3 linked regions of the Mus musculus genome follow. The protein of the gene in region 1 purifies or fractionates together with the protein of each later gene. This does not show direct contact. Links are inferred from orthologs where the notes say so. Each region holds a gene or a part of one and is shown in the gene's direction. Other genes may lie near its edges. The genes, in order: Racgap1, Shcbp1 and Fam98a.

Evidence for each region.
Region 2: the proteins of Racgap1 (region 1) and Shcbp1 purify together in Homo sapiens (affinity purification with mass spectrometry; 8 studies listed by BioGRID and IntAct, counting the BioPlex papers as one, with this or other methods). This does not show direct contact. The link is inferred for Mus musculus from reciprocal best matches to the Homo sapiens genes RACGAP1 and SHCBP1.
Region 3: the proteins of Racgap1 (region 1) and Fam98a purify together in Homo sapiens (co-immunoprecipitation; 3 studies listed by BioGRID and IntAct, with this or other methods). This does not show direct contact. The link is inferred for Mus musculus from reciprocal best matches to the Homo sapiens genes RACGAP1 and FAM98A.

The regions. Positions count from the first base shown.
Region 1 is NC_000081.6:99,624,019-99,627,670, reverse strand, and holds part of Racgap1 (rac GTPase-activating protein 1), read left to right. Parts: intron 1-1,113; coding exon 1,114-1,209; intron 1,210-1,289; coding exon 1,290-1,488; intron 1,489-3,327; coding exon 3,328-3,433; intron 3,434-3,611; coding exon 3,612-3,652.
Region 2 is NC_000074.6:4,735,349-4,738,546, reverse strand, and holds the end of Shcbp1 (SHC SH2 domain-binding protein 1), read left to right. Parts: intron 1-2,139; coding exon 2,140-2,453; 3' UTR 2,454-2,571; downstream 2,572-3,198. UniProt on the Homo sapiens protein: May play a role in signaling pathways governing cellular proliferation, cell growth and differentiation. May be a component of a novel signaling pathway downstream of Shc. Acts as a positive regulator of FGF signaling in neural progenitor cells.
Region 3 is NC_000083.6:75,549,628-75,553,379, reverse strand, and holds the start of Fam98a (protein FAM98A), read left to right. Parts: upstream 1-1,433; 5' UTR 1,434-1,586; coding exon 1,587-1,639; intron 1,640-3,752. UniProt on the Homo sapiens protein: Positively stimulates PRMT1-induced protein arginine methylation. Involved in skeletal homeostasis. Positively regulates lysosome peripheral distribution and ruffled border formation in osteoclasts.

The DNA.
Region 1 (3,652 bases):
GTAATAAGTGCCTTGACTGTACTGTTATTCCAAATGTAAGTCCATCATCTTCTCAGCTGTGGAGCTTCTCCAGGCTGCTTTTCCCTGCCAGACCATATCACAGAGCAGCCCTGACGCTCCTGTACGGGGCTTTAGATGCCAGCACGAAACTGAGTAGTGGTTACTTCTTGTTGAGTGCAGAGCTAATGTAGGCCTAGCCAAGACTCGAGAGGGAAGAGATTGTTACCTTCAGTAGGCAAGGGGTATACTGGGATCATCCGCTCTCAAAGATCTCCAGCTCAGGATCCAGACTCAGAGATCTGCTTCCCTCTGTGCCACCACACCCAGCTTAGGCTGTGAGCTCCTCGGGGCTGGCTTTCTCTTGTCCCGAGTAGAAGAAAAGGACTTTTCTTGCTCACAAAAGTGTAGCCGGGCATGGTGGCGCACGCCTTTAATCCCAGCACTTGGGAGGCAGAGGCAGGTGGATTTCTGAGTTCGAGGCCAGCCTGGTCTACAGAGTGAGTTCCAGGACAGCCAGGGCTACACAGAGAGAAACCCTGTCTCGAAAAACCAAAACCAAAAAACAAACAAACAAAAAAAAAGTGTGTGTGGTTATATAGACCACAGCATGAAGACAGAAGTGACTAAAGGCTCTATGTAGATGGCCTCAAACTCTGCTCCTCCTGCCTCTATCTCCAGTGTGCTGGGATACACGCATCGCCCACCACAGGACCTCATGCCTGTCAGGCGTATGCTCATGTCAGGCCTTGAGCTGCACCTTACTCCTCCAAGACTCTTCAGAAATGTTATTATTTAAACTATGTATGAGTAGGGTATATACACAGGAGTTTAGGTGCCTCTGGAGGCCAGAGATGTCAGAGTCCCCTGGAGCTGGAGTTACAGGTGGTTGTGAACCCCCTGATGTGGGTGCTGGGAAGTGAACCCAGGTCCTCTGGCGAACAGCACAGGCTTTCAGCTGCCGGCCACCTCTCAGTCCCCGAGTCTGTTTTAGCACGTACTTGTAGAATAGAAGTTCAGACGCTGACACACTTTGCTAGTGTTTAGTGACAGCTCTGTGCATGAGCCCTTCTCTCTCGGTCTCGGCAGTGTAAATAACAAAGCCCCTTCTTCCAGGGCATGCTGGCCGACTTCGTGTCGCAGGCTTCTCCCATGATCCCTGCCATTGTCGTCAGCTGTGTCAATGAGATCGAGCAGCGAGGCCTGACTGAGGTGAGGAGCTTGAGCCCGGTGAGTTTGTGGTCTGCGATGGTGATTTGGAAGTTCCTAAGTAAGTGTCATCTCTATAACAGGCAGGCTTGTACAGGATCTCAGGCTGTGACCGCACAGTGAAAGAACTGAAAGAAAAATTCCTTAAGGTGAAAACTGTGCCCCTCCTCAGCAAAGTGGACGATATCCACGTCATCTGCAGCCTCCTGAAGGACTTCCTGCGCAACCTCAAAGAGCCCCTCCTGACCTTCTGGCTGAGCAAAGCCTTCATGGAGGCAGCAGGTGAAGGCAGAACTTGACTGTGGCGTCAGCCGATCCAGGGCTGAGCTGTGTTTACAGTTTACTAATTTTTCCACCACCTGTGCAGTGTCTGAAGTGTCCTAGGTACCCAGACTGTTGGGTGGGTGAGTGACTGTCCTCGCCTCCCATCATGCCGTTTCTTCCCTGAACTAGAGAGGCTAAGAGATGCTCTGTGGTTGAGCACTGGCTTCTCTTCCAGAGGGTCTGGTTTTGATTCGTAGCTTCTGCAAGGGTGGGTCACACTATTTGGAACCCCAGACCGGAAGGATCTGCTGTACTCTTCTGCCCCCTCAGGCACCACATAAATGCTGGCAACGTATGTGTACACATAAAATAAAGGGAAGAATTAAACTAACTTAGACTTCGTAGGACTCACTGTGGGTCTTGATTCTTGGTCAGGTTTTAGGTTGTCCCTTTGAAAATAGAACCAGCTTTGATTCCTTTCTTTTCCACCACAGACCTTGTTAGCAGCCTGTAAATACACTTTAAATTTGGTATTTGTCACGAGTCCTGGTACTCAGCTGTCCTCAGAATATGTTGAGAACCTGCTAACAGATTGTCGAGTTTCTGCTTGTGCCCCTACATGATAGCATCTGTGTGGTGCTGGTGTGGTCCTTTTACACTCAGAGTTACTGGTGGCCCTTTTGTCTCTGTCCACCATTGTTTTGTTTTGTTTTGTTTTTTGAGATAAGGTTTCATTGTGTAGTTCTGGCTGTCCTGGAACTCACTTTGTAGCCCAGGCTGGCCTCATACTCAAAGATCTACGTGCCTCTGCCTCCAAGTGCTAGGATTAAAGTCATGTGCCACCATGGACTGGCTTGTCCATCATTTTTAGACTAACTCCAGTCTTTAACATGGTTGAAGAGACCTGCAGACTTGGCTCCTGGTCATTGTCTGCAACACCATTTTCTTTATGCCCCTCCTTCCTCTTTTCTAATCCTGGAGTCTTGGATTTCTTTTTATTTTATGTGTATATTTTATGTATATGTTAAGAGCCAGTGAGTGCTCTTAACTGCCGAGCCATCTCTCCAGCCCAGAGTCTTGGATTTGTAGCACACACCCACCTCACGTCCTTCCCATTTGCTGCAGTCTTATCCCTAGCAGCTTCCCCTGACATCTCTGTACTGTGTTACTTCTCTCTCCCCGGTTTCTCTTCACACATTTTGTCCTTAGAAACACGTTTCCTAAGCCAGGTGCATGACGTGGTAGTCCAGCGCTTGGGAAGGATGGCAGGAGGGCCGGATGTTTGAGACCAGCTTTGGCTACATAGTGAGTTGAGACTGGAGTAAGCTACCTGGAACCCAGTTTTTAAAACTAACCACAAAACCCGCCTTTATGGCCATCTTGTGAGAAGCAGGCCCTGTTACTTTAGCATTCCACGTGCTCATTTTCTTTTTTCCTGAATACTGCTTGACATGTGTTTTGTTTTTTGCATTTCCTGACCAGCTCTTTGATTAGAGTATTTATTCCATTAAACAAGGCCTCTTTTCGTTTCGTTATCCTCACATTTAAAAATAGCACGTGGTACATAGTAGGCCCTCAAGTGTCCTATGATTGTTGATGGTTTATCACTGCACTTGTGTGTCTTCCCAGCAAATGGGTTGCCAGCTGCTTTCTCTTAACTGAGTTTTAGGAAGTTCTGACTTCTCATTGAACTGTTGGCCAGTGTCCTGCCTGTTAATGAAACTAGAGTCTGGTGCTGTCATGAACCGCATCAGAAGTTTCAGAAGCTCCGTGTATAGGTGGGCCTTTGTGGTCGATAGCCTTGAAGCTGCTGTCCAGGGAAGAGCCTGGACCTTTAATGCTTTCTTGTCATCACAGAGATAACAGATGAAGACAACAGCACAGCCGCCATGTACCAGGCTGTCAGTGAGCTGCCCCAGGCCAACAGGGACACGCTAGCCTTCCTTATGATCCACCTACAGAGGTTAGTACAGCGGATGCTTAGTCTGAGAGCTAGGGAATCTTCCAAGGAGAAGAGTGTGTGGACAGTGAGTTGTTTTTTCTAGAATGTATATTTTGGTGTATATTTAAGAGGAATAATATGTTTCTTTTTTCCCCCCACCTCCCCTGAATAATGTTTCTTAATATAATCTTTTATTCAGAGTGTCTCAGAGTCCAGACACTAAGATGGATATTGCCAATC
Region 2 (3,198 bases), on another chromosome or scaffold:
TTGGTAAATGAAAAGTTTCTCTCAGTTACCACTTTTCCTGACAGAAAAGGAAAGCACACACAGTGGAAATTTGTAAATCTCAAGCCACTGATGTGTAAATCACTTTTAAATATAAGACCTAAAGAAGTAAAAAGTACTAGTATGGCTGTGGAAATTTGAAGTGGTTTGAAGAATAGGCCTTGTCATCCTTCAGGAGCCCTTCCAGTCAGGACAGAACAAAGAACAGCTGAGATGCATGTGGAAGAGGCCCTTACCTTTTAAGCTCTGGAGGACGAATCTACACCCAATGCTACTCGTGTCATTCGTCTGCAGAGTCCGTGGTATAGATCTTAGGACTAAGCTTGGCTGGAATCATTCTGTAGCCCCATTGATTAAGATACACAGATTCAAGCTTATGCTTTGAATCTTCTGCAGCCAGCTAGGAAAAACAAAAACAAAAAACTTGCCTAGATAGGCTTAATCACATTAGAAGATAATAATAACATTGGAAGATAATAACAAAATATTTTTGCATTTAGCAATCATGAGAGTGTCAGGAGCTATCTAGGAAAGGCTAAGGCTAGCAGATGACCTTTCTCAAGGTGACCCACCATTTTTGCATGGGTGAGCTCTGAGAGGCAAGGTCCCTAGGCACTTCATCTCAGGATTGCTTCTTGCAGCTGCTATACCTTTCCTGTCACTATTATATAGCCTAAGGATTCCTGGGCATTAACCTACCACTGTTGAGCAGATTTCCTGCAGATCAACATAAAGGCGAACTTTCATAATTGCTGTTTAGATGAATTAATGATAGAATTCCTGATTTGATTCAAATAATCTTAGGAAGAAAGTTTTAAGATGGTTTTATTTGTTTTACTAGAAATATGTAATAAAATTAGAATCAAGAATGAAATATGCCCACTTCTCATAAATAGTAAGTAAGAGCTACATAATAAGCAATACAATGAGCTTTTATAATTACACTAAAAAACCATATATGCTTGGGAGAAATTTGTGTTAAAGCAAAAACATTCAGGTGCAAGGATGAAGCCACAAGTGTGCACTATGATAAGGCAAGGCCATGTAAAGACTTTTGCGTTGAACTTATAATGAGCTTACAATGTGAAACAGTGCTTTGTACTTATTATTAATACTTCTCTGTAACTCCCCTTTCATGTAACATTTTATCTATGAGGTAATTCTTACATAGAGAACTTTTTGTCTAAAAAGCTATGAAAAAAAAAAAGCTGAAAGTAATAAAGACAGATGGTGTAACTAGTTTCCACCTCACCTGGTGTGTGTGTTGTCTGTGTGAGTGGCTTTTTTCCTTTCCGTTCTTCTCTCTCTGGTTCAAAAAGACGTAATGAGCTTTCTGGCCAGTGAGAGGCTTCTTAGCTGACTGGCCAGAGACAAAAGCACTAGCAATAAATCCTTTTCATAATTGCCCAGCACTTGTTCAAGCACAGAGAGTTAGAGCAAAAGGAAGCCAGTGGTTTTCATCCAGAAAATAAGCAAGAGAGTGTTAAGTTTGCAGAAGCCATCAGCTTCTAGCCCCCAGAGTTACAGAGCTGGAGATCATCCAACTCTGTGTTCCACCTCAACTCCAAACCCCAGGAGGCCAGGGCAGGCCACCAGCATGAGAGTACAACTCTTTTTTTCTTTCTTTTTTTTTTTTTTTTTTTTAATTTGGTTTTACAAGACAGGGTTTCGCTGTGTAGCCCTGGCTGTCCTGGAACTCTGTAGACCAGGCTGGCCTCAAACTCAGAAATCCACCTACCTCTGCCTTCCAAGTGCTGGGATTAAAGGCATGCGCCACCACGCCTGGCTGAGAGTACAACTCTTGAGGATGGGAACTAGCTAGTAGATTGTGAGTTTAACAACTAGCTCCCAGTACATAGCTTAGCAGATAGTAAATATCTAGGAACATATCTGTCCAGTGACTGAGATTTTAGGATGAAGAAGGTAAACAAAGTTTAAAATTAATGACCCTATTAATGAAACTTTGCAAGAAGATCTAAGTAGCTACTCATTGAGATTTTTATAGTAAAGAAATTCTATAAACTCTTGGCAGAAAATACTTGAATCTAAAAGACTGTATTAGAAATATCTCCTTGTTTGTTTAAACTGTATGTTTAACTTCATTATAATTTGTTTCCTCAGACAATATGGTTCAGAAAAATAAAGAGGCAGATGTCACTGAAGGATTAGATCTGGAAGAAATGCTTCAGTGTGTGGCTAGCAAAATGGAGCCTTATGCCACAGCTGACTTTAATGAACAAGCTAAGGGAAACTGTGAAATTATAAATGAACTACTTGCTATTTCCATGCAAAAAGGCCGGATGAAGAAAAGACTGAGTGAACTTGGGATTACACAAGCTGATGACAACATAATGTCACAGGAGATGTTTATTGAAATTATGGGGAACCAGTTTAAGTGGAATGGCAAAGGGAGTTTTGGCACATTTCTTTACTAGCTACAATAATATCAATACTCACAAAATACTGTATTTTGAACATGTCTTAAGTATGCTGCTTATATACTTTGCTTCATTTGCTTCATGGCTGTGTATTATATAAAGTGTACTTGATTAAGCTTGTGTGAAATGTGGATTTATTTCTATCTATATGTATTACATACAAAGCACACCTTTGTAAGAAAGCCACAAAAAACATAAAATATGACTGTAGATGTAGTGAAGGAAGATGAAATATTGTAACTTGTGAGTTGTCTAGGAGCCAGCGGCCCTGGCCTGGGGCTGAGAACAAAGCAGAACAGGCCCAGGCATGCCAGGGCAAGGCTGTTGTTAAGGCATTCCTAAGAACATCTTGACAGTAAAGATGGAAAGGTATGCAAGGACAAACAGGGCTATATTATCTGAGTCAACACCATCTGGCCGGAACCTCCCCTCAATCCGAGGACAAGCAGGGCTATCTTGTCTGAGTCAACACCATCTGGCCGGAACCTCCCTTCTGTCTATTACCCCTTGGCGCCGGGTAAAGTCATACATCAACTGGTTGTTATGTGAACAAAGATAAGCCCCAAGCCCACCGGAACAAAGTCCTGATGCCCCTTTTTGCTGACATATAATCTTTCTGTTAATATTTTAATGAGCCAATCCAGTACCTTTGCTAAAATTCCTCTTACCCCTAACCCTTTGCTTCTATTAAAAACCCCTAGCTTCCGAGCCCCAGTGTTGACTTCCCTGCCTCCTGTGTGAG
Region 3 (3,752 bases), on another chromosome or scaffold:
GGATTATTTCTTCAGATATATTGGTGGGGACAGCAGGTGAGAAGTTTACAGTGATGTGGAGAGAACTTAGCTGTTATCTGATGACACTTGTGGCTTTGAGTAGGCAGAAGCTAATTTGGATGTTTACACATCCCAAAAGTTTTACCTGATAGCCAAAATGAGGTTAGGTCACACAGGATGGGCCAGGGTGGGCTCTTAAGGGGACTAATGACAGTCTGACAGAACCTTGGCTCTGGATTTGCAACTTTTCCCAATCAGGAAATTAGAATCAATGAATACACCTTGAAGAATATTTAACTTTAGGGGAGCTTTCTTGGAGAAGCCAGGTCGCTCATGGGTCAAGAGGATAGTCACTAGAACAGTTAGTGCATAACCTTCTCCCAACCCATGTTACACAAAATAAATAACTAAACCATGAATTACTACTGACAGAGAATGCTTATCCATTAGACATGAAAGTGGAAACTACAAAATAAAACGTAAGAATAAGTTTAAAACCAAATGACTACACAATATAACAACATGGCAATTCATAGATAAATATGATTTTCTAACTACATCATCTCTTTGAAAACGATTTCCTCCTTATTCAACAGTTCTTTCATAATAGAAAGCTACACCCAAGCATGGGTGGCCAAAAGTAATGACAACACTGAGCATGGTAGCAGATGCCTTTAATCTCAGCACTGGGAAGGCAAAGGTAGGTGGAGCTCTGTGAGTTCACAGCCAGCCTGGTCTGCATAGTGAGTTCCAGGCCATCCATGGCTCTATAAAACCCTGTATTAAAAAAAAAAAAAAAAAAGTCAACGGAGACAAAAAGTTGATCCATTGTCTAAACTGCATGTAATCAAATATACCCTATTGTATTCGATATGGAGTTATGCCCTTTCCCGTTAAAACAAAATGCGTGGTGTCTGGGGCAGACTCAAGAGGACAGGGACAAAAAAAAAAAAAAAAACTTTCCCTGGAGAAACTTTCTGAAGCATCCATACTGAGGAAAGCCACTTCTCTAACCGTGGACTCCAGAGGCTACACTGAAGAAAAATCAAATGGCATTTTCCTGGCTTTCATTGTTTTTGACCCGTCTAACCCCGCCCTGGGCTGTGGCTGGGAACGCACAAATTTGCCCTTCTGTGGTGACTCGCAGGTGAAAGGAGGACACGCATCTTCAATACCACAGCTGTCACTCTACAATCCCAGGCTGGATCCTGCTTCTGCTCCTCCCGCGCCTGCCTCGCCCCAAGCTGTGCACATGCGCATTCCAAGAGCTCCGCGCCCCCTGGCTGAGTCTCTGAGTCTCCCAGCCTCGGTGCCACGCCACCTGCCTTCCTGCCCTTCTTAGGGCAGCTAGCTTCACTACCCCATACTGGGCACGCGCACACCCGGCCATTTTTTTTTCCTCGGCCGGTGAGGTGGGGGCAGTGGGCGGAACCAAACTGCTTGCGCACGCTCGGGGCATGCGCAATACGGGGACTGAGGCGCCAGCTGTCGACTTGGAAGTTCCGGGGAAGGAGCGCATGCGCTAGGGTACGCGTTGCCGGCGAGAGGGCAGCCTGACGACTCGGAAATTTGAATACCACAGTAGCATGGAGTGTGACCTCATGGAGACTGACATCTTGGAGTCGTTGGAAGATCTAGGGTAAGACGGCGGGGGCATGAGTTTCTGAAAGTCCACTCTGCTAGAGCCCCGGCAACTCCTCGGGCGCCCGGTCGGAGCCACCTGCCTTGCCACTCCGCACCCGACTCCCGCCGGAGCTTCCCGCTGCTGGCCCAGGGACCCCCGGTGCCACGTCCACACCTACCCTGCCCACTGGGCTCCGACGGCCCTCGTCCTCCCCGGTGCTCCCCTACAGCCCAGCTACCCGCAGCGTGTCTCAGTCATGCGTGTCATTGTCTGGGCTCCGGTTCTCACCACCCCCCCACTCCCCAAGCTTTCTCTTCTTGCCTCCCGTCCTCCCACCCTACCCCCACTTTATGGTTTGCCAAAGTTGTATCTGCTTTCCTACTTGGCCCCAAGATTCCCTACTTCTTTCTTGAGCTTCTACCCCCCACCCTACTTCTCTGTCTCTCTCTCTCTCAAAAAAAAAAAAAAATCATCTTTGCTCAGTCATCTCTGCATGCACCTAGGCTTCCCAAAGCGCACGTCTGGGCGATGCAGCCGGCTGCTCTCAAGCCCGCTCAGCTGTGCACCTAACCTTTCAACCACCTGCTTTGGAAATGACAGTCAGTGACTTCAGACCTCCAGCACAGCCTCGCTGAACTCCAGCATTCCAGGGTCATCCTCACCCACCAAGAATCAGCATATTTGCATCTTGACTCTCAGTCATAGTCTTCAGTGTTTAGGAATTTGGAAATAAGGCTTATTTATCTTGTTTGGTCACCCAGATCAAGGTGCTTAAACTTGAGAACCTAGAGGCTCTTAGGCAAAAAAAAAAAAAAAAAAAAAAAAAAAAAAAAAAAAAAAAAGCCCTGCATGATTAAGTATTTGCCTGCGAATAACTATTTCAGGATAAAATCAGCGTAGAAGAAATGACGCACCGAGGTCCTCCTGCCTCTGGCACCTGAGAGCTATGATTAAAGGAGTGAGCCCCCATGCCCTGCCGATTGTTGTATTTTTAACTATAATCCTTAATCAAAGCTTAACTTTAGGCTTTTCCATGCCATGGAAATTCTTAAGGGACACCTTTCTTTAGGGAAGGACACCTTTGAGGTAGCCAAAGCGCAACCCATGTGACTAGCTTGGTGTCCTAGTAGGTACTGACCATAAAGGAAGCTTACTAACCATCGCTGTGAACATCAGCCGCTGTGGTCATTTCTTTGAATCACATTTTGTGCATAGCCCAGACTTGGCCAACTTAGTTCTTGCAATGGGCCACACGTAAGCCTTATTCTGTGGAACGGGTGCTTTTCAACGGGTGTCTAAAGATGATTCGCTTACTCAGTAAACATTTTTTTTGTGTGTGTGTGTGTGTGTGTGTTTTGTTTTTCGAGACAAGGTTTCTCTGTATAGTCCTGGCTGTCCTGGAACTCACTCTGTAGACCAGGCTGGCCTCGAACTCAGAAATCCGCCTGCCTCTGCCTCCCGAGTGCTGGGATTAAAGGTGTGCGCCACCACACCCGGCCAGTAAACATTTTTTAAGGGACACTTGCTCTGTGCCAGTGTGGGGTTTTCCTCAGGGTATAAGTTCACGTGGAAGCTCTGAGAAGCATACAATGAAAAGCCCCGAGGAGGGTCTCTTCCCTTGAAAAGGTAGTGTTGCAGGAGTAGAACCAGAAGAGTTCTGGGATATTCCGTGCAGGTGAAGATCAGCTGACTGGCTGCAGTGGAAGAGCTTGCTTCCATTACTGTTCCTTTATCCTAATGATGTTTTCTTGTCTGGCTTACTACAACTAATTATCCCTGCAACAATTGCCCTCAAGTAAATAGTTAGGTTGCATTGTAATATAAACCCTAGAGTTTTTAATGAAAGTTTATAATTAATTTTAACTTAGTGTGGTTACATTTAAATATTATTAAAAGTCACCATTAGTTGATTGCTGTGTATTTTTAAACAATTTGCTCAAAAATTACAGTTGAATACTATCTTTTTTTTCAAGACAGGTTTCTCTGTGTAGCCCTGGCTGTGCTGGAACTCACTCTGTAGACCAGGCTGGCCTCTATCTCTGAGATCCATCAGCATCTATCTGCCTCTAGAACAGTAAATGCTATCTTTTATCTCTAACCTAGCACAAGAAGGAAGGTAGCAGCTGCT